Oreochromis niloticus: one gene and its partner. The protein of the gene in region 1 binds, or shares a complex with, the protein of each later gene. Links are inferred from orthologs where the notes say so. Each region holds a gene or a part of one and is shown in the gene's direction. Other genes may lie near its edges.

Region 1 (10,664 bases):
GTGCAGAAAGGACAAGGCCTTTACAACACAAGCTGTGTAGAACCTGGTGCTCCATTCATCCAAATATCCTCTGAAACAGTTTGGAGAAGTGGCTGACATCAGGTGCAGGTCATTTAATATTTTACTGTGAGGAAACAGTACAGGACTACAAATACATGCCTCAAATATTCAATTTATTCTTAAGTACTTACTTGTCTTTGAGTAGATTAGATAAATCTCCACCAAGACAAGCTTCTGTCAAAACGTACAGATGCTCTGCATCTTTAAAGGTTTTGTGCAGCCTGTGATCAATGAAAATAATAATTACTTTAAATCTTTTTCCTCAGCATCAACAATATTTTACCAGACAGATCTAAGTATGGGACACACCTGACTATAAACGAACAGTGGGTCTCCATTAGGATGTGGCTTTCTCTCCGGATGTGCTCTTGTTGGCCACTGCTGACAATCAGCTTCTTCTTGAGGACCCTCATGGCAAAAGGACACTTTGTCTTGCTCTTCAGTTGCACCTTACAGAGAACAGAAGTAAATGCATTACATTATAGACACATCGCCGAGGGCGAGCTGCTTGCAGATTGACCCTCACCAGGTCTACGTGACCAAACTCCCCGACCCCCAAAGAGCAGATAATCTGGAAATCACTTAAGGTGGAAGTAGACAGGAGGACAGGATCCACATCTGAGCTGCTTACAAGGAAAACAGGGGTGAGCTTTTATTCTGTGTCTTCTGTATATAGAAATGAAACAGTGTTTTAACGCTTCTCACTCGACTTCAGGTTCATCGTTTTGTTGCTCCTCTTGACTGCAATCAGGTGCCAACCCATCAATGATGCTCTTAAAGGTGCTGTAATACAGAGAATTACGAATATTCAGGTTAGATTAAGCACATTTTCAAATCAGAGAGCAGTGTGACAGCTGAATCACTTACTCTCTGTCTATTACCAGGCACGTAACTTCTCCAGCAGCTATCACACTCACAGTCCGAATGTCCTCTCTGAAGACAAGCAAGTATTACAAAATAAAACTATCAATAAGACTATCAATATACATATATATATATATATATGAATGTGCTTTTTCATTATATGTGCAGAAATTTCTTTACAGCATCATCTGAAGGAGCTTTTTTTCCTTCTTACCCCCACAGAGCCTTTTCTCCAAACCACTGTCTCTCAGAGAGCTTAGAAAGAACTACCTGTTCTTCCTGCTCTTGCCCCTTTTCAGTCACTTTCACCTGTCAAATGTAATGAAAAAAGAGGTAATGGTGATGAGCGCAACGCACCAAAGTAAATTATCACCATCATAAAGTCATTTCCGCCACTGCTTTGACATTTCTGTCATCCAGGCTGTAAATCTTTTCCTCAGAAAGCCCCCCTTGATCTGCGCAGCAGGATGAGAGCAGAAAACTTTACCTGGCCTTTGCTGATGATATAAAAAGTGTCTCCTGTGGCCCCTTGTCGAATGATGTAGTCGCCGTCGGCGTAATGTGTCTGTGGAAGACAAATGAAAACCGACAGCGGTGTGACCAGTGGAAAAACATCAATAAAACAAAGAAGGGTTCATCCAGAGAGCTTTCCTTGCACTTATACAGGCACTGCATGTAAACATTCACCTCATCCATTAGCTGGATACACCAGTGTGCTTCACAGTTAAATAACTTCAAGTGTACCTCTTCCATGAGATCCGACATTTTCATGAGGACATCTGCTGGGAGCGACTGGAGGAAGGGAATGCTGCACACAGATACAAACAAAAAGCACTGGATATCATCCGCAATAGCTCATGTAGGTGCATGAGGACAATGAGCAGATACCGTGCTCAGAGGTAAAAGCCTACATGGCCCATCAAAGCAGCTTTTTGGAGCTGCTTCATGTGCATCAGTCTGATTTTCACCTGCTAAGAAGCTCCACTGAATGGGAAAGGTGCTTGAGACCACTCTGCATGAGTATGGTCTGGTAGCTGTTGCGATCCACAACCCACAGCCTGCTGTCCGTTCGTGCTGCAGATCAAAAGACAGAGACAGAGGAAGACGCTGTGTCAGTGACAGACGAGTGAAAGCACTATCGAGACTCACGCTGCCTGTGATGGATGTGGACGTGCAGCCAGTAAGTAGGCCAGGATTTCATTAGAAATGCTTACCGTGTATCGTAAAAACTAAAAATACTTGTTTTCCTCACAGAGGTCAGTAGATATCAATCAAATCTAATTTCCTTCAGCCATCATCACCATCTTTCTTTGTAATAGAGCTTGAAAGAGAGTGTCGTTAATTAATAATGACCAGTATTGATTGATTCACTGAACCTTCCTGCAAACGGAAGACGACGTCCCCTCCAGACAGTCTAATAAGATCGAGCATCTGATTATTGCGGTGCAGTCCTTATCTCAGTTCCCCGTTTTTGGATACAAACCAAACTTTGTCGCTTTACCATCGTATGACACACGGCGTACAGCCATTGGTCCTTAATTCAATCTCCTACGCCAGGTATGATGGGAAGAAAAGTAATTTCAGGTCAGGAAGGAGATAAATGCAACAGGCCTTAAATGGATTGAAAAAAAGAGGGTACATGGAACAAGGGGGAGCAGCGAGTTTTGTTACCAGAGAGCAGACAAATGTAGAACAGTGAATTGGAAAGGCTGCCTGGTTACAGGATAACGAAAGGAGTTTTTAAAAAAAGGGGAGGAATGGGATGCTTTTGGGACCAAACAAGACAAAACAGACAGATTTTTCAATTTAAACTGATCCGGCCATTTTCACAGCCTATTTATTTGTGAAACCAGGTCAGACACACGCAGCCACGACTGAAAAGGTTTTCCCACAGGACTCTGTGATCGGATCCTCAAAGGAAATGATAGCACAGTTTCTGCTTTTAAGAGGGAAAAAAAATCATGTTTTTACACCAGAAAAGCACAGATGAGAGGTTGTAACGCAGCGGTCATTGAATCGAGATCGTTTACAAGAAGATTATTTTTAAATGTTTGCAAGATGCTGAGATGCTGGATTGTAGGGAGGAGATGTGGCGCTTCAGGCAGCCGTGTTAAGCGGAAAAAGCCGAGGATGCTTTAAATTCCTCACATCCGTTAGAAAGCCATGCGAAGCTGTTGTAAGATCTCAGAGGGTCTTTTGATTTTGAATTCAACAGGCATCTTTTGTCCGAGGCCACAGCCAGAAATCTTACCGCTTGCGAAATTCGCTTAAACTAGAATTATTTATATCCTCGCCGAATCAAAGTTAATCACAGAGAAATTCTTCAGGTTGACAGCTCTCCTGTGACATCTGAGCGCAATTATAAAATAAGGAAGCCGATGCAAAGCTTTGATTTACCTGACACAGAGTAGGTGTGGGTGCAGTTGTAAAGGAGCGCTAGCTCTCCAAACAAGTCTTCTGGTTCAACTGTGAGCAGCTTCAGTCCATCTTTCATCATTTCCAGCCTCCCTTCTGCGAATAAACAAACACTGGGTGAAGGACGACGCAGAGAAATGCGTTTTATGTCAGATAATGTACAGACTGAGAGAGATGTACAGCACAAACAACAGAAAGGCAAGGAGACCGGAGATAAACAGCCGCTCCGTCTCCTCGGGCTCAAGCTGACATTTCAACCCAAACTAGAAATGTGTTGCTCCACATGCTGTCACTTTATTGCACTTCTATTTGCTTCTATTTATCAGTACAAAAATTTTAATATAAAGATATGATCAAGCTCATCATTTAATCAGTCTGTCCTTAAGCATCTGACATCTCAAGGAAGCCTTAATAAATATCCTCGTGTGTGATTAATAGCGGCCATTGCAAGAGGAAAAAAGGATTTACCTTCCAAAACGTAAGCCTGAGCCCCAGCGGTCCCCTCCTGAATAACATAGCAGCCTTGATTGATGGTGGTGGAATGCATGCAGGCGATGATGGCTCTGATTTCTCCTTCATCAAGGTGCTTCAGCAAGTCGTTTCTCAGAAATGATGCCCGAATCAGCCTCTGGGACCTGAGGACATGAGGAAACGATATGAAATTTGCACGTGAGGATGAGTTATTAAACAGTGTCAAATACTTGAGCGTCTGACAATGAATAAAAAAAAAGCATTGGTTCATCATGAGTCATGCAGTCAGCAGTCAGTGAGCCTTGAACATGCATGAGTGTGATTTTTCAATCTGAGCAGGTGTAGCTCTGAAGGGAACACTGTGTGCTCTTACTCGTGGCTTTTGTCACAGCTTCTCTGTGAAACCAAGGCGAGAGTCACTGGGTCCAGAGTGAGGGGCTCACAAATCACCGTCTGCCTTCTGGGTCTCTTGTTGTCATCAGTTTGACCTGAGGTAGAAGCAAAAAAATAAAGAATAAAAAAGTCAAGGAAATCAAATAGAACTCTATATCAGTCCTAATAAGCTCTGCAATTATTAAAACAGCACAAAACTGCCTACATGCACTGACTGCAGAGGCTCCTGGGAGGGAGACAGTGGTTCTGTAGCGGTCTAGTTCTTCCTGCAGCCTCCGGATGAGTTCATCCTTCGTGTCCAGCTCAAGCTCCAGCTCATCTATCAGCGTGTCCCTCTGGCGAAGCTCCTCAATCTTTAGTTGCAAGGCAAACTGGAGGTCCCGAAGTGTACCCATCACCTGCAAACACTAGCAGACTTCATCTATGCTTTTGACAAAGAGCCATCCATAGAGTATATACATTCCTACAGCTGCTATGCAGCGTGGATCTATCTACAACAAACTTGACCTCTGTATGATTTTGATCTACACCTCTCTTTATTATTTAGCTAATCTGTCCAGGTGTAATGGCTTCTACCTGGATAAGAGCATAGATCCACCTGTTTTGGGCTTCTTGTACATTTTCACACCTATACGAGTGTTCATATGTTTACGAGCACATTAATGTTCACTGCAAATGAGTCACAGGTAAGGTATAGCCCCACATTGCAAGCATTAGCTCTAGTCTGTTGTTCTGCATCTCTATACATAATTCAAGCCACATTAAGAGAAAATACAAAGAAAGTAGAAATGAAATGCTTACACAGTAAATGTTAGTACAAACTTCCTACTGAGTCCCACACAAAAGTCCTAACAGGAATAAAAACATGAAAATAACATTGGATTTTCCATGTGACTGTTAGGCGTGGCTGATGCTTTCACGATGATTTTTTCTGTTTTTTTAATCTTTGCTGATTTTAGCTGTCATGTTTCTAATTGACTGTCTGTTAGCACAGATGAGGCTGTATCCGCAAACTGTATTAATGCTGTGCGATATTTCACACCATAAACAAACAAACAAACAAATGAACACAAACATCACTTACCACACGCAGCCTGTATGGCGTTATGGGGTCTATTTCACCGGCGTGTTTTGGCCTGGTTTGGCTGCAGACTGTTCACTCGACAGGTGCACATCCCGTCTGTAAGTGCCCAGCTGAAGGATGCTCTTCTTTCTTGCTCGCGGCTGGCCGGGGCTGGGCACAGACAGCAGGCAATCACATGACCCACACGGTGGAAACCATGCGGGGAGGGTGAGATGAGAAACGTGTGGATCGGATCCCATCTGGGTCACGGGGTCCTCAGGGTGTTCCGGAGCCTTGGGAGTAGGTGGGGATCCGGCAAACTGTGCAATGCATGTTAATGATTGTATGCCCAACCGATCATGAAGCAGGTTAAAGGCTGGCCGTGTGCACCGATCAAAGATTTATTCGTTTTCTCTCCATAGCAGCTGTGCAGCCATCCAAATATAATTTTACCTTATATCATGTTTTTTTTTCTCTCAGTAAAAGGCTTGATATGTATTTGATGTAGGTGCGTAAAGTAACAAAATAAATGTTCCTCTGCAATTGGACGGCAAGTGGTTTTCCGATAACAACAGTTTCAAACTACATGTGATGATAAGTTATGGTAACAGCTCTATAATGTTGCAATAATGTTAGCCATTAATAGGAAAATCAGTAATAAGTTACTGCGTTCATCACGACACTAGTAAAAACACGCTAGAGCCATGCAGCGTTAGTCCACTTTATTTAAACACAATTTCCGTGCGTGTTATTTAAACACACACAAAAATGAAAAAATGAAGAAAAAAAACTAGCCCTAGTGTACCATTGTTGATAATATTACTAATAGCCGCGTTATAAGTCAAATCTGTAAGCCTTTTTTTGAGTTTTCCCATCCTTTTTTTTCCTTTTAATATTCAACTGCGGCATAATTAGGAGAAAATAAATGGATTATTCTTTGTTTTTGTTGTTATGACACTTTCCTCTGAGGGCTGGCGTAGCTGCCATGCCACACTCCGGCCAGCGCGCGGCGGTAGTGGGATGCGGGAGAAGAAAATGGGCCGTTGGCAAGCAAAGAATCGCGAGCTGATAAAGTAGCTGTACTGTGAAGCAGCACACTCCGAGACGTTTTGTTACTTCATCTTTATTGTTGTGTAATTTTTTTGTTTTTTTAAAGCATATTCAAAAATGATCCTCACGGTGAAACCGCTTCAAGGAAAAGAGTGCAGCGTACAGGTGAGTGAAGTACCGCTGCGCTAGCTCACCGCCTCATGCTAACTGCGATAGCAGCTAGTAGTTTAGTCGGGCCAGCATTGGCATGTCACATGCCGAGCTACCTTCAGAAAAACGGCCACACATATGTTTCTTTTAAAATAATAAAATAGCCTGTCAAAAATACTGGGATTCAGTGCTACACACTGTAGCCTAAACTAGTCGGTTGTATGGGCATGTCTCCGCAGAGTCATTAATTTGGCTGGCGTGCTAGCTAAATCCTGGATAAGATGTTGCATACAATCTTCCCTGACAACAGCTGACTAGTAGCATTTGAAGTCGGTCTTTGTGGTTTCGGGGAAAGAAAAAAAAGGGAAGTCCTATCTGAGGGAAACAGCTTTTGGTGCAGTAAGACCAATATAGCTGTCAGTTAGCCTTAGCCACAGTCTGTCTCTCACAAAGCTAATTTTTTTTTAAATATTATAAAGCACAAACTGGACCTTTACTTGGAGACATAAGCAAAGGCCCCTGAATTAAAGAGAATATTAGCGTGTGGCAGCCACTATTTTAACATGACCAGGTTTTAAGGAAATATGCAGGCAGTCAAAAGCATTTTATTACGTGGGGAAGTATTTCCCCAAGTGGGGAAGTATTTCTAAAATCGTTTAAAAATTCTGTGTTCAGCAGAGAAGTGGTTCCATGCACAACATCTGTGCCATAACAGTGATTACAGCCATTTCGTTTAAAATGTTAGCAAGAGTACACTTTTTTTTTTTTTTTTTGAGAAATGGGGCTCTACAAATGCCAGTACAAACCGGGAATGTCACTTGTACATATATTTAACATTAATATCTGGATAATGTAAAGGTAGGAGTTATTTGAGAAAGATTTTTAAATGATAACTTAATTTATCAAGGAACAAACTTTCCAAAGCTCACCCAGTGTGAAAAAGGAATTGCCCCCTAAACCGAATAATTGGTTGTGCCACACCTGGCAGCAAGAACTGCAATCAAACTGGCAATGTGACTTTCATGTTGCTGTGGAGGGAATCTTGGTCCACTGTCCTTTACAATATTGTCCTAACTCAGCCTCATTGCAGGGTTTTCCAGTTTCAGTGTACTGTTAAAAGTCATCCCGAAATATTTTAATTGAATTTAAGTCTGGACTTTGACAAGGGAACTCTAAAACTTTTATGTTAGTTATTGAGCCATTCAAGGGCAGATTGCTGCTGTGTTTTTGGTCACTATCCTGTTGCATAACCCAAGGGCATTTGAGTGTTAGAGGACAAACTAGTGGCTCCTGAAGGATGGAGCAGAATTCATGGTTCCATGAATTACAGGAAGTCTTCCAGGTCCCGAAACAGCAAAGCAGCCCTACACCATCACACTACCTCCACTGTGTTTGACTGCTGGTGTGATGTTCTTTTTATGAAATGCTGTTAGTTTTACACCAGATGTAACACAGAACTCAAACTCTTCAAAAAGTCCAGATTTTTCTTGTCAGTCTAAAAAATATTTCCAAAAGGTTCTGGGGATCATCAAGATGCTTTTTGGCAAATGTGAGACAGGCCTTTGTGTGTGTGCGTGTGTGTGTTGTTTTGTTCCAAATATGCCAAAAAACAAGAAATCAAGAATAGGGCAATTACTCTTTTACAGCACTGTGTGCTGTGTAATTTAAACACTGTTCAGCTGCACAGACAGAAAACAGTGTCATGCTCTTAAATTACACATGTACTACATGATTGGGTTGTTTTTCTTCCAGGTGACTGAAGACGAAAAGGTCTCCACAGTGAAGGAGCTTGTGTCTGAACGTCTCAACATACCAGCAAACCAGCAACGGTTACTCTACAAAGGGAAAGCTCTCGCAGGTAGATGTGCCAACAGCGACATGTTTGATGGCAGCATTTGTTAATACTTTTATGCATGCGTCATATGTAAATTTTTAATGCAACACATTGTAACACTCTCCCTCAGATGAACACAGACTGAGTGATTACTCTATTGGTCCTGAGGCTAAATTGAATCTGGTAATCCGTCCCATGGGAGAGAGGACTGCAGCTTCAGGAACAGCAGCACCAGGCGGTGGTGGTAGCTGTAGCAGCACCAGCAGCGGAAGCAGCACACATGGAGGAGTGTGGCAGACCGTCTCCACTATACTTGCTAGACACTTTAGTCCGGCAGATGCAGCAAAAGTTCATGAACAGCTTATTAAGGTATTTAAATGCAGCGTCATTTTTTTTTTTTTTTCTTCAGACAAGTTGACAGGTGCGGATATTTAATAAATCTAAAATATTAAAGTTGAAAGGGCCAGTTATTGATGATTTATGAACATGTAGTGCTAATGGTGAGATACTGATTTAATTTCTGGAAATCTATTATTAATAATTACTACAATATTTGTATAATGCTTTTATCTTTTAATGAGAACTGTTTTTACTGTAGAAAGTGGGTGTACTGACAGCTCTTGAGTTTGTTAGTTGTTCAGCTCCTATCCATCCAACTGTGCTCACTAATTAGAAGCTACATTCAGCTGCTCCCTCATTCACGAGGCGTTGCCACAGCAGGTAGCTCTGCATGCCTTCCCAACGCAACCCCAAAGGGATTCATGTCTCCTCCTTTCGCTTGTTAGGCAAATATGTAAACCACTAAACTATGGAGCCACTAATTATGCTGGGCTAAATAATTAATTGAACAACCCAGACCAGTAGTAGCCAGACGTGTGTGTGTGTGTATTTGAAGGGTTGGGGGGGGGATGAAGCAAAATCTGGTTTGGCCTTTTGCTGCCAAATTCTGTTGTTATCCTGAAATTGTTGAATTATTTGCGTGCAAACAGCATTACAAAACAAACTGCCAAAAGTGCAAATTAGCTTACCTCCACTTACGTCCACACTTTTTGGACTTAACAAACTCCTTTTAAAAGCAACAAAAATGTTTCTGAAGGTCATGCCTCCAGTCCTCCATGCATTATTTCTCAGCCAGAACGTGTTGTAAATAAATGAACTGAAATGTTTTTAACCTGCTGTTTTTCAATATGTTTTTTTTTTGCTTTCTTTCTTTTCTCAAGGACTATGAACGTTCCCTTCGACAGCTTAGCCTCGATGACATTGAGCGCTTAGCGGGGAGGTTGCTTCATCCGGAGGGCGAGGGCATGGACACCTCATACATGGACTAAGAATGCATAGCTTGAAGCTGATTTTTTCCGATTGTTGTTTGAGAGACGCTCAGTGCTTTGAGATGCATACGGTGTTTAGAGTGTTAGGCTGTGGAAAATACAATGCCATTTTTCTTACAGAGAGCCCCAGGGTGAGCATGGATAACACTGACTGTTTGTCTCAGCAATAGGGCTTTCTTATCTTGGATGAGAAAACTTGGCATCTTGGAATTGGCCCTTGTCATTGGTGGCACAGTAACCTCGACCTGATCACATAATGTCTGAATACAAAGGAGTCCATTTATGAAGCTATCTTCACATGATCTCTGGCTGCTACCATTTCCAGGGGACACTAACTTCTAATGGAGGGTATTTATTAGTAATATTTGGGTTGCGTGATGACCGGGTGTTTCCTGTTATAACCATCTGTGCAGTTCATACATGTTTTATTCTGTAACTTACTGATGACCATTGTATGATTTGTAAATATCATGTTTATATATACAGATATTAAAACACAGGTAGAAAAAAAAAAAACTATCTTTCCGCTTTTGTTGTGTGCTTTTTAAGTGTCAGAATATACAAATGTATAAGCGGTGTGGTTTGATTTGAGGTTTCACAAGGCGGGACTTTACATATCAACCAATCAGATGTTAGGAAACCTCGTGACTCAAATTTCTGACCAATTGGATTGACTGAGTAATACGGTTCCGCCTTTGTGATCAACTGACGGTCTGTATCTTTATACTGCTAATTTTGGATGCCATTTCGGGTGGAATGAAGGGTTAATGCGTTATTTTAATACAAACTATGAAGAACAGGAAACTTGGATAGGAAGGAATATATCTTGAACATTGGTGAGGTCAGCATCGGGTATCGTTTCTTTAGCAGCTAAGCGAGTGTAAGCAGTTAGCTAGCTTATCCCTTTCACTTCCTCCCTTTACCGAATAGATTTAGCAAGCTATGGTTAGCACATAACATCGAGTGTCTCGGCTTGTGCTGTCACCATTTGTTGCACTGTTAGTCAGACCTGGTTTCATCCCAGTAGTTGACAACT
Region 2 (11,442 bases), on another chromosome or scaffold:
AAATGTGGGTGAAAGGCTAAACTGATGCTAAGTTGTGAACAGCTCTGCACCGCTAATGTCATGTTTGCCTCCCTGCCTTCTCCTTGATAGGCTGGTGGATGAACACCAACAGTGTCCAGATGGGACTTTTTACCGTGGTGGGGTATCTTCTCTACAGGTTCTCACAGAGTCAGTCACACAGCAACACCCACACTTCTACTGTTTAATGACTTTTACTGCGTCTAGAAAATAAATAATGAATCTGTAATAGTGAACTATTTTCAGGTAGTAAACAGATGTTTATAAATCTTACTAGTCTTTTTTTCCATTTCTTTTTCTTTTAAACTTCTCCTGTCCAGCACTTTTAGCAAACAGAATCATGGTCTGCTTTGTTGTGCCAAACACATTTGCATTGCCAAGAGGAGTGCTGTAGACAGTCTATAGGCTCCTTTTGTTAGTTGTTTTCTTTTATTTATTTATTTTTTAGATCTTTTATTTTAGATCTCACATTATTATCTGACTGGTTATCATGCCAGACCTGACAGGGTGTGAGGGCCAAGTTATCGAAAGACAGGAGATAAGGGGGGTGGAGGGGGTAATTTCGAGTAACATACCGCAAACATATGACACACTAGTCTAAATCTTCAAACCGAATCAATAACCTGTCATCTGAACACTTAAATGATCCAAAATGGGACAGAGACTAGAAAGAGAGAGCATATTTCTCCTATATTGGCTTCTCTTTACTGGCTGCCAGTTAAATGCATAATCAAATTTAAAATCCTTCTCTTCGCATGAAGATCATGAATAATCAGGCCCCGTTCAATTTAATTCAATTCAGTTAAATTCAACTCAACTAAGTTTTATTTATATAGCACCAAATCACAACAGTAATCTCAAGGCATTTTCTGACAATAATAGAGAAAACCTCAACAATCGGACAACCCCTTATGAGCAAGCATTTGGCAACATCGGGGAGGAAAAACTCCCTTTTAACAGGAAGCAACCTCCATCAGAACCAGGCTCAGAGAGGGAGACAGGACAAAAGATACACCGAATCATCTTAGTTATGCAGCAATATGCTTAGGATGCTGCAGACTTCCTATGATTCAATGAGTGTTTTGTCTTTAATCAGCTGTTTTCTCTCTGTGTGTTCATACACCACTCAACATTTTATTATTAGTTACTATTCATCTCTTGCTCATGTTTACAGTTTGTCTCTTGTCCTGTATCAGCTGATTGAATGTAGAGTTTGACTATAGTAAATCCAAAAGAAACAAATAAAAGGGGGCAGTATGGATCCTACAGTTATGGCATATGAATAAATACATGTTCATTATAGAAAATGAATCAGCAAGTCTCCCTATTATTATGACACTCTGTGATACTCATTCTAGCCTCACTTCCCTGCAGCTCTCCCAGCTCTGATTCGATGGCCGATTCGTCTCTTTTGTTCTTTAACTGGTGAGTTTATCTAAGCTAATACATCACTTTGACTTCCAAGTTTCAGGACAAAACCAGCAAAATGAAACTTAATTGAAACAAAATGAAAGTTAATTCATGCACACTGATTATTTCTTTTCCCTTCAGGTCTGTCAGCTCTTTGGGGGTGGATAAGCCGGCTTGTGGGAACCCTCCGAGGTATAAAGCACATCCCCCATTTTACCATTTAAAACAAAATCTGTTAAACTGGAGCTGACTTTTCCACTCCATGTCTCGTGTCTCAGTACTCCAGACCTTGTTTAAGTGGCTGTCTCGGATTTGGCGCTTTTTAGCCAGTAAGTATTTCTTGTATCTTTGTTGGATTTCGTTTTCTCTTCACTGCGTGTTGCAAATAGAGAGTGAAAAAGAAAACGTTTAGAATCTGAGTGGCTATCAGAGGACATGACCCAGCAGTGCAAGCAGACATGGGACAGCAGTTTAAAATGTGAAGGCATCACACCTGTTTCTGTGATACATGTGAGTTATTACAACCCTAATGTAAATTTCTATCTGCTTGCTTCCTCAGCATTTTCCTCAAGATTCAAGTGGATCGCTGCTGTCATCAAAGCCATCAACAGTCAGTTTGTTGTCATTTTTATTAGCTATATTTAGCTACATACTCTATATATCAATATGTATTTGTTCATTTTTTGTAGTTTGTTTTTGTGCTTTTATGGGATTTGTCTCACAAAACGATCAATGGTCTCAGAAACAACCTCATGAGAGGGTTTTCCATAATTATTGGCTTTCTGGTATGTTTAAGAACTCTCATTCAAAACTCCTTCAGTTTCAGGATATTTCAGGTTCTTGCATCCTTATAATGCCTGTTTTGCATTATAAGGATTATGGAGTGATTCATCTTTCTGAGATATATTTCTTGTTGTACTTGCAAATCTGTTCAGGATCATTATCCTAAGCACAAGGTCCACTTTCAGCTCAGTCTCAGCTTTCAGACAAATGGTCTTACACTATCTCTCAAACTGGCCTAAAGCGATCACTGATGTGACACAAATTCATTCTTATGTCACTGACTGTATGTAAGTGAGGCAGCGATGTGCCCTCTAACCACGGCATTTTTGCAGTTGGTATGAGGTTCTTTTCCTGAATCACCATCTTTGGCATGTATTGTATTGTTTTCAGCAGCAAATATTGTTATTCCACACAAGTTCCTAAGACTCTTCTTATAAATTTCCCAACTGAGAAAATGAAAAAAATGAAATTTTAGATCATCAGATTGAGCTCATTTTGATTTAGAATCACAGCTTTACCCCATAAGGCTTTTTAAAATTCTAAAATAATATTGTATTATCTCTGTAGATTCATCCAGAGACGGCTCTTTGGACTCACAGAGTGATCCAGTCATTAGCAGCTTACTGAACCAAATGCTTGATCCCTCTGGCGGCAGCATTCCCAAGAAACCAGGTCTCAGGCTGGTCCTCCTGGGGCTTCCTGGTGGAGGACGGACTTCCCTAGCAGATACTTTAATGAACAACAATGAGAGAAGCACCAAAAGGGTTCCTCTAAAGGAGAGTACCGTGCAAAGGGCTTTTATAGATGGTAGAGAACTTATAGTAATTCAGACCCCAGATCTTTTGGGGACGTCACTAGGGAACAGAGAGAGAGCACTGGAAGTTCTGAGGAGTGTCCAGCTCGCCAGTCCCGGACCACATGCCTTTTTAATGGTGATGCGTACTCCAGGCTTCACCAAGGGGGCTGAGCAGGATGCTGCCCAAGCAGTCCAAGCCACAATGGAACTGTTCGGTGTGGAAGTCAAGAGGTACATTATCCCAGTGCTCACTCATGCAGACCGTCTGGGTCGAAGGAACACTTTAGATCAGCTGCTTGATGCAGATGCTGGAAATCTGAAAAGCGCTGTGGCACTGTGTGGCCAGAGGCCTGAGCTGGTGGATAACAGGCCCGACCGCCCCGCAGAGGAAAGAAGTGTTACACGCAGGCAGCTGGTGGAGCGTGTGATGGAGGTAATGGAGCTGAAGGGGCATTTTGTCCACGAGCTACAGAGAAGAGAAGACCACATGAGGGAGGTGCTGCTGGCTGATATGACCTCTGCACTGGCTAAAAGACTGGGATATATGTAGAGAGAGAAGAAGAGAAGAAGAAAGGGCAGTATGTGCAACAAGTTGGAAAGATGGTGGAGGTGGAAGTGTTTGCCACTGTTCAGTAGTGGACAGTGGTATGTATTATAGTTTCCAACATACCCTAGATTGTTTAAAAATATATTTTTTGTGTTCTCCAGATGGCTGTTTACAGCTACTAAATGCTTAAATGTTTACTGTTTACTTTTCTCAGCAAAGAACGCATTGTTGATTATATGGCCCAAATATTTAGCTGTAGCTGTAGATGATGAATTTGTCTACCTGTGATGCATAAAAGTCACTGTTTACAGAATCAGCATTTTATAAATGAATATTTTTATTAAATTTACTTCTGCTTTTCATTCTTCTTCCAATAATTTAAGTGGGGAAAAAAACTACAAAACCTACAAAAAATATATAATAATTTAAAAGAACTAACTTGTCTGTCACTTATAGATAACAAATAAATGTGCTCTTAAATATACTCATCTGAAACAACAATCACTTAAATTTTTCAAATGTATGGCTGTCAGTCAACTGTGGTTACCTAGCTTTGATAAGTAAATTTTTCCACAAACTTCTCTTGATAATGTAGCCAAAATGATGATAATGAATATAAGAATAGTGAAGCAGAGTTAGTTACATCAAGTATTCAATACACTATGTGCTGTTATACTTTTACTCCCAAAAACTACAGTCAGAGTCACCAAGTATGCCAAATGTCATCTGGCTAAATAAATTCCATTAGTACTAATATTGCTATAGGCTCAAAACCACAACAAGAAAAAGTTGTTACAGGATATAAGGACATAGGATTAAAGCCCATAATAATGTTTAGGTATTTTGTAGTTTACAAGGTCTGAGAGGCACCTGGACATCTGCACCTCGTCTATTTTCAGGTTCCAGATTTATTCCAGATTCAAGTCTATTAAGACGCGTTTTTGACTGTTAAAAAAAAAAAAAGTTGAGTAACAGATACAAGTAACTTCAGCTGTTCGGAAATATGAAATGATCCTCTTGTTGTTGTAATTACAGCAAATATCTATAGAAATGTTCTGTCTATCTGTTAAGTCTTTCTCTCTGATCTTTCCTGATTAGTAATGTTTCTCATATAGCTTTCTACAGACACTAGAAGAACAGTAACATTACAGTCTGTAAGCATAACACATATCAGAAAGCTGGCTTTACAGCTAGCTAATGAATGACAATAAGTTCACCAGATGGGATGGGACACATATTTAGCATCTGTGCCACACTACAAAACTATGATTTATTTATTCTTCACTATAAATCCCGTTTTTAAGTTTTTCTCCAAATCTAGATAACTCAATCTGTTATAGTAATTAACAGTAATTAATTAATTAAAGTCAGGATGCAAATATGTTACTTACTATCCAGTCATTTAATAATATATGCCAAAAAACGGTGAATCTCTTTTTTTTTTAACCATGTTTTTATTTTTTTGTTTTATTTTCCTTACAATTAACCTCGTCATCGTGTTGCCTCAAGCATCATCTGCTGGTTAAAAAAAGGTTTCAAAAGTTTTCATGCTTCCATGATTATTACACCTACTGCGATACACCGGCTACGGCAAGCGACGAGGGTCCATTAAGTTTAAAGCTTTCCGGGTTCACCCTGTCAACAGTCGCTGGGTGTGCTGCTGCTGCTACGGAGCAACGATGTCGGAGCAGGAGTCTCTGAGGTGCTCCAGTGCCAGAAACCGTGGAGGCGTACAGAGGGTGGAAGGAAAACTGCGAGCCAGCGTAGAAAAGGGGGATTATTATGAAGCACATCAGATGTACAGGACTTTATTTTTTAGGTGAGACTTCGTTTTTACGTTTGTTCATTCGGTTATAATTGCCATTTGGCTTCGAGGCCTGCCTGTTCCAGATCATTCTGCTGTCAACCATGCTTTTACACCTGACTGTCTGTGATTGGTCTGCTTTCACGGCGGGCCTGCCCACTCTTCGTGATTCTTGTGTTTGTTTGGACGGTCGCGTTTTCCATCTAGTCTGAAAACGGGACTGCTAACTAATGCTAGTTAGCCAGCTATGTGTTTGCTTTTGATGGCTGAAGTGTAGTTAGCTACCCGGACAATGCCTACCACAGATATTCTGCTTTTGTGTGTTACTTGAAAGTCTATTTATTCGTACATAACCGAATCTAGCGGCTGACTATTTTAGTAACTGACGACGTTGCGAAAACTTGTTAGTTGAAGATGTCCGGCTGAGTTAGCCAGTTAGCAACATTCTGCACCGTCGCGGTCTGGACCGTGATGGCTGGACGTGCTATCGCTTAGCAAAAGTGTCTTCATTCACAGCCAATCCATTTAGAAACCTGAATAAGCCTAAGCGTTTGTTGGGTGTTCCAGTCTTTGTCATAAAAGATCAGTCTCAACTCCCTGCTCCAACACTAAGACATCTGAGCTCTGTTTAGTGCAATAAAATTATTAGTCAAGGTGCAATACTGGTTAGCTGCGTACCACCAGCTTTTAATTAAAAAAAAAGAAAAAAGGTGATATAAACCTATTTGAATGCAGTTTGAAAACGTTCTTTCTCTCACAGTTGTGTGTGTTGGCCTGCTCATTCATTGGTTTTCATCATTGAAGTGTTAACACCTGGAAATAAAGGGAGTCTAAAACATTGTCTTCCTTCATTGATACCTGCTGTGAAAAAGAAGGGAAGCAGGACTGAGCTCGTGTCCCTTGGAAACAGATAATGTCATCTCTTGTGTAATACTGATACTCTGTCTTGCATCAGGTACATGTCACAGGGGAAGCATGCGGAGGCCAGGGAGCTGATGTATAACGGAGCTCTGCTCTTCTTCAGCTACAACCAGGTACATGCAGCACTGAGTTTGTTAGAAAGCAAATTATTTTGGCTGTAATAATTGACTTGTTTTGTGTAATTATAATATTTTAACGTAGATCATTAACCCAAGTTCCAGACAGTTCCTGACGGTGTAGATTAAAAAAAAAAAAAATACACTTGCTGTGTTTATAGTAACCAATGTCCGTAATGTAAATATGTAAGAAAAATTGTATGTTTCTGTTCTGTGTCCTGTGTACTGTTTGTTTGTATACGTGTCTTTCTGGCTGCTGTTACAACCAAATTTCCCCTTGTGGGACAATTAAAGGATTATTCTATTCTATTCTTTTGGTTTGCAGCAAAACAGCGCAGCAGATCTGTCCATGCTGGTGCTGGAGGTTTTGGAAAAATCTGAGACAAAAGTTGAAGATGAAATATTAGGTGGGTGCAAGACTTTGTCTTTTAAAGTTCATCTACAAGACTTGTAAATAGTGGTAAATACATTTTTTTTTTTTTCTATTGAAATAAATATTACCAAACAAAAATCAGATATAGAATATGTGCAGTTTATCAAACATATCCTGAACATTAACTGCTGCAGTAGCTGAACTGTGGATTTGTACGTCATATAATAAATAATTGATTGGCCTTGACTACTGTACTCATCAGCTTCATCTCACTTCTCTATCTGTGTGTATAATTGCTCGTAAATGATGTAGTAATAAATCCTCATGATAGTCAAAGAAGTCTGCACAACAGGGCATTTCATTTATACTTCTCTGACTTTTTTTTTTTTTTTTTTTTAAGAATGTCTGGCTAAACTCTTCAGCCAGATGGACCAGAACTCTCCAGAGAGAGTAGCATTTGTTTCCAGAGCCTTGAAATGGTCCACAGGAGGGTCTGGCAAGTTGGGTCATCCAAAACTACACCAGCTGCTTGCTGTCACTTTGTGGAAAGGTAAAAGTTGATCATGTTGATTATGTAGCGCAGAGTAGAACGTTTTTGAATGTACGTATTAAGATATCAGTAGACGCCATCGGTTTTACTGATAGTTTGTTAGATATATTGATTATTAACAGTGAACCCATGACTGCAAAGTACAAAATGTTTCGATGCACATACACACTAGATTTAATTGTGGGTGTGTATGATGTCTAGAATACTCAGAGAATACACACAACACCCTATTCCAAAAATGTTGGGGCTCTGTGTGAAATGTAAATAAAATCAGAATGCAATGATTCACAAATCACACAAGTACATATGTTATTTACAATAGAACATAGAAAATGTATCAACTGTTTAAACTGAGAGGAACCATTTTAAGAAAAATATTAGCTCATTTTGAATTTGATGGCAGCAACACATCTCCAACAGGCCTCCTCGAGCTGAGGAGAGCAGTTCTTTGACTCTTGGGAGAAGAATGTTAGCAAAAGGGTCCCATTCTTGTCTTATAGAGGATTCCAGCTGCTTAATAGTCCTGACTGTTGCTAAATTTTTGCTTCATGAAGCACTAAATGTTTTCAGTTGGTGAGAGTGTAGTGTACTGCAGGCAGGACAGTTCACCACCTACATCTTCTTCTACTAAGAAGCCATGTAGTAGTAGTAGCTGCAGTTTGGCGTTGTCTCACTGAGATATGCAAGGCCTTCGATGTAAAAGACATCCAGATGGGAGCATATGTTGCTCTAAAATCTGTACAGCTAGATGAGATATTCAAGGTGTTCACAGCTTTACACTGAAGAAATTGTTACGAAAGTTGTAGACTGTTTTTGCAGATTGGTAAAACTCTGCCCATCTTTACATACTTTACTCTGCTTCTCTAAGATGCCCTTTTTTAAACCCAATCATGTTACTGACCGCTTGCCAGTTAGTTTAGAAAATATTCCTCTCACCGTTTCTTTTTGTGCCACTTGCATTTCCAGCCTTTTGTTGCCCCCGTTCCAACATTTTTGTTGAAAAGGGGGCAACAAATGTACTGATCAGCAGTTTAAATGTTTTAAAGACATCCAATGTCTTTAAAACACTTTTGAGACATTTTAGCTGCCATCAAATTCAAAATGAACTAATCTTTTAAAATAATGGTGCATTTTTTTTTCATTTCAAACAATGGATATTCTATTTTAAATAAAAGTTTGTGGGTTTATGAACATCCCTGCATTTTCTTTTTATTTATATTATACACAGTGTTTCGACTTTTTGAAACTGGGTTTAAAATTCAGTAGCTTTGTATGTGTTAAAACATAGTGTCATGTCACAAGGTCATAGTGTGTCCTTATTCTAGAAACACAGGGCATTTGCTCCTTGTATCAGTCCGTCTTGACTAATTATGCTTGCATGACATCTTCTTTGTAAAATGACATCCTGTTTGGTGTCTTTCCTGGTAACGTTGTTTTGTTGTGCTTGCTATGTCATTACTGTCCTGATGTTGCCGTCTTGGAAATTAAGGTGTTGTTGTATTTTTTTCTTTTAAATCGTCAGAGCAAAACTACAGTGAGTCTCGTTATCACTTCCTGCATTCCTCTGACGGGGAGGGCTGTGCACACATGTTGGTGGAGTATTCAGCATCACGAGGCTTCCGCAGTGAGGTTGACATGTTTGTGGCGCAGGCCGTCCTACAGTAAGTGAACTGTCACCTTGTCACATTCTTGGATGCAAAATTTAGAAAGGGGGAGGGAGCCAAATTTAGCTGTGTGGGGTTTTTTTTTTTTTCTTCTTGTATTCTTCTTTGTATCAGACTTACATGTTTGAGACCAGCAAACAAAGATAACCAGAGTTAATAAAACATGATGATTTCATTTATTATGGGGGAAAGAACAGCCATCCAAACCTAGCTGACCATATGTTAAAAACTTATTGCCCCCCATTTCTTAAATCATTAACTGTCATTAGCTACTTTTTTGGAAAGCTGAGTTTGACTTCATTAGCTAAATCCCGGCCTGATCTCTTCGATCAAGACATCACTTAAATAGAAACTGTTTGACAAAGTGAAGCAGGCTAAAAGATGTCAACATGCAGTGATCTACAGAAACTCAAGAACAGCTGAGAAACAAAGTCATTGACAGTTATCAGCGTGGAAAGGCTTGGATAGTCATTTCTAAGGCTTTGGGACTCCAGTGAGCCAGTCAGAGCCATTATCCATAAATGGAGAAAACTTGCAACAGTAGTGAACCTTCCTAGGAGTGGCTGGCCTACCCAAATCAGTCCAAGAGCGCATTGAAGATCAGGTCAAAAAGGAACCCGGAACTGCAGGCCTCACTTAGCTCAGTTATTGTCATGATTCAACAATAAGACAGAGACTGGGCAAAGAGGGCCTCCATGGGAGAGCTCCAAGGAGGCCAAATAGAACACAAAGTCTCACATTTTCCAAGAGAAAAAAAAAAAAAACATCTTTTAGGAAATATTCTGTGGTAAAACTAAGACAGCATTTCATAAAAAGTTCATACCAACAGTCAGACATGGTGGTGGTAGTGTGATGGTCTGGAGCTGCTTTGGCACCTGCATGACTTGCTGTAACTGATGGCACCATGAATTCTGCTTTCTCCTGAAGGAGAATGTCCGAACATCAGTTCATGACTTGAAGCTCAAGTACACTTATGCATCCCATCTCTGAATGGTTAAACATAAATGAATAAATAACTCAATGAAATCACGGTTTTGGAGTGGCCTAGTCAAAGTTCAGACTTAAATCTGATTGAGATGTTTGGCATGACACTAAACAGGCGGTTATGACAAATGCGTGATTGCAGGTCTTGCTGCCAAAGGTAACACAACCAGTTATTAGGTTAGAGGGCAATTAATCTGTGGTTTTCTAATGTTTCTGATTGGAGTAGGTGGCGCTCATAGGAATCTTTTTGTGCAGAAGAGTCACATGACATGCATTTTTATGTGAGTGACCAAGCACAGAGTCTGAAACAGAAATCCCACCTTAACAGAGAAATTTGATGACAGTGCTAGTGATCCCTGTTATAAACTGGGGATTTAGGTTTTGTTGAACCAGCTAAATGCCAGAAAGCCTAGCTGTGTGGAACTTGGTTTGCAGTTTACCCCTCAGGAGTATTGAGTATAGTGTCGGTGTTCAGAAGCGGTAGAAATGGAGAAAATGGTACTGACGCATCAATCTCCAACATGTCGACCAGCTGCATTTATTTTCAGTCTGTCAGCCATTTCTTCAAAGAGGCTTTGAGCATCATTTACCTTTTTTATCATGCCATCTCCATAACTCTCCCTTTCTTCTCTCAAATCTCAAACCCTCCAGGTTCCTCTGCTTAAAGAACAAAAACAGCGCTTCCGTGGTGTTTAGCACGTACACAGAGAAACACCCGTCCATAGAGAGGGGCCCTCCTTTCGTGCAGCCTCTACTAAACTTTATCTGGTTTCTGCTGCTGGCAGTGGACGGGTGAGGACAGATGTTGGGATTGTTGAGTTTGCTTATCATGCCTGACAGATGTAAGCTTAAAAATATCAGTGAATTGTTTTGATTGTTTTTATCATTTAGATGCTTTTTGCTTGTTTTCTTTAGGGGTAAATTAACAGTTTTCACAGTGTTATGTGAGCAATATCAGCCTTCCCTGAAGAGGGATCCCATGTATAATGAGGTGAGTGTTGAGCTGCAGCTTCATACTGTTTGTCTTTGCCCAGAATTTATGTAATAAATGACTACACCATGTGCACTAGGCTAACTTAACCTTGGAATTCATTTGGTTAAAGATGTTGGAGAAAGTCTGTCATTGAAGTTGCATTATGGGGTTAAACTGCCTGTAAACACAGACTCTACTCAGGTGTAATCCTCTCTTCCTCTCTCTCTCGACTCAGTATCTCGACAGAATAGGACAGCTTTTCTTTGGCGTTCCACCCAAACAGTCCCCATCGTATGGCGGACTACTAGGTGAGTTGGGAAACACAACTGATGTGTATACACACACGTTAATAGACTTAGCAGCAAGATGAAGAGAGACTGATAGCGATGTTTTTCATCACCAGCTACTTTTGAATGTGATGCTACCAAGAAATTCCCTGAAGCCTCTGCATCATTTATGAAAGCGCTTGCAAAAGCTATTAGACAAGATGTAAAATAACAGGG

What was found.
Region 2: ubl4a (region 1) and get4 share a complex: the UniProt entries of both Homo sapiens proteins name them as parts of the BAG6/BAT3 complex. The link is inferred for Oreochromis niloticus from reciprocal best matches to the Homo sapiens genes UBL4A and GET4.

The regions. Positions count from the first base shown.
Region 1 is NC_031977.2:13,690,092-13,700,755, reverse strand, and holds ubl4a (ubiquitin-like protein 4A), read left to right. Parts: upstream 1-6,270; 5' UTR 6,271-6,433; coding exon 6,434-6,481; intron 6,482-8,218; coding exon 8,219-8,324; intron 8,325-8,430; coding exon 8,431-8,669; intron 8,670-9,520; coding exon 9,521-9,628; 3' UTR 9,629-10,144; downstream 10,145-10,664. Other genes in the region: prkg1l (cGMP-dependent protein kinase 1), read right to left, coding at 1-70, 192-281, 370-509, 587-683, 766-843, 928-993, 1,139-1,233, 1,412-1,489 and 6 more. UniProt on the Homo sapiens protein: As part of a cytosolic protein quality control complex, the BAG6/BAT3 complex, maintains misfolded and hydrophobic patches-containing proteins in a soluble state and participates in their proper delivery to the endoplasmic reticulum or alternatively can promote their sorting to the proteasome where they undergo degradation.
Region 2 is NC_031973.2:22,244,156-22,255,597, reverse strand, and holds the start of get4 (Golgi to ER traffic protein 4 homolog), read left to right. Parts: upstream 1-5,136; 5' UTR 5,137-5,233; coding exon 5,234-5,373; intron 5,374-6,313; coding exon 6,314-6,392; intron 6,393-6,720; coding exon 6,721-6,802; intron 6,803-7,168; coding exon 7,169-7,318; intron 7,319-8,840; coding exon 8,841-8,979; intron 8,980-10,617; coding exon 10,618-10,758; intron 10,759-10,881; coding exon 10,882-10,957; intron 10,958-11,174; coding exon 11,175-11,247; intron 11,248-11,442. Other genes in the region: GTPase IMAP family member 7-like, read left to right, coding at 91-168, 1,393-1,443, 1,570-1,620, 1,707-1,757, 1,988-2,038, 2,779-3,557. UniProt on the Homo sapiens protein: As part of a cytosolic protein quality control complex, the BAG6/BAT3 complex, maintains misfolded and hydrophobic patches-containing proteins in a soluble state and participates in their proper delivery to the endoplasmic reticulum or alternatively can promote their sorting to the proteasome where they undergo degradation.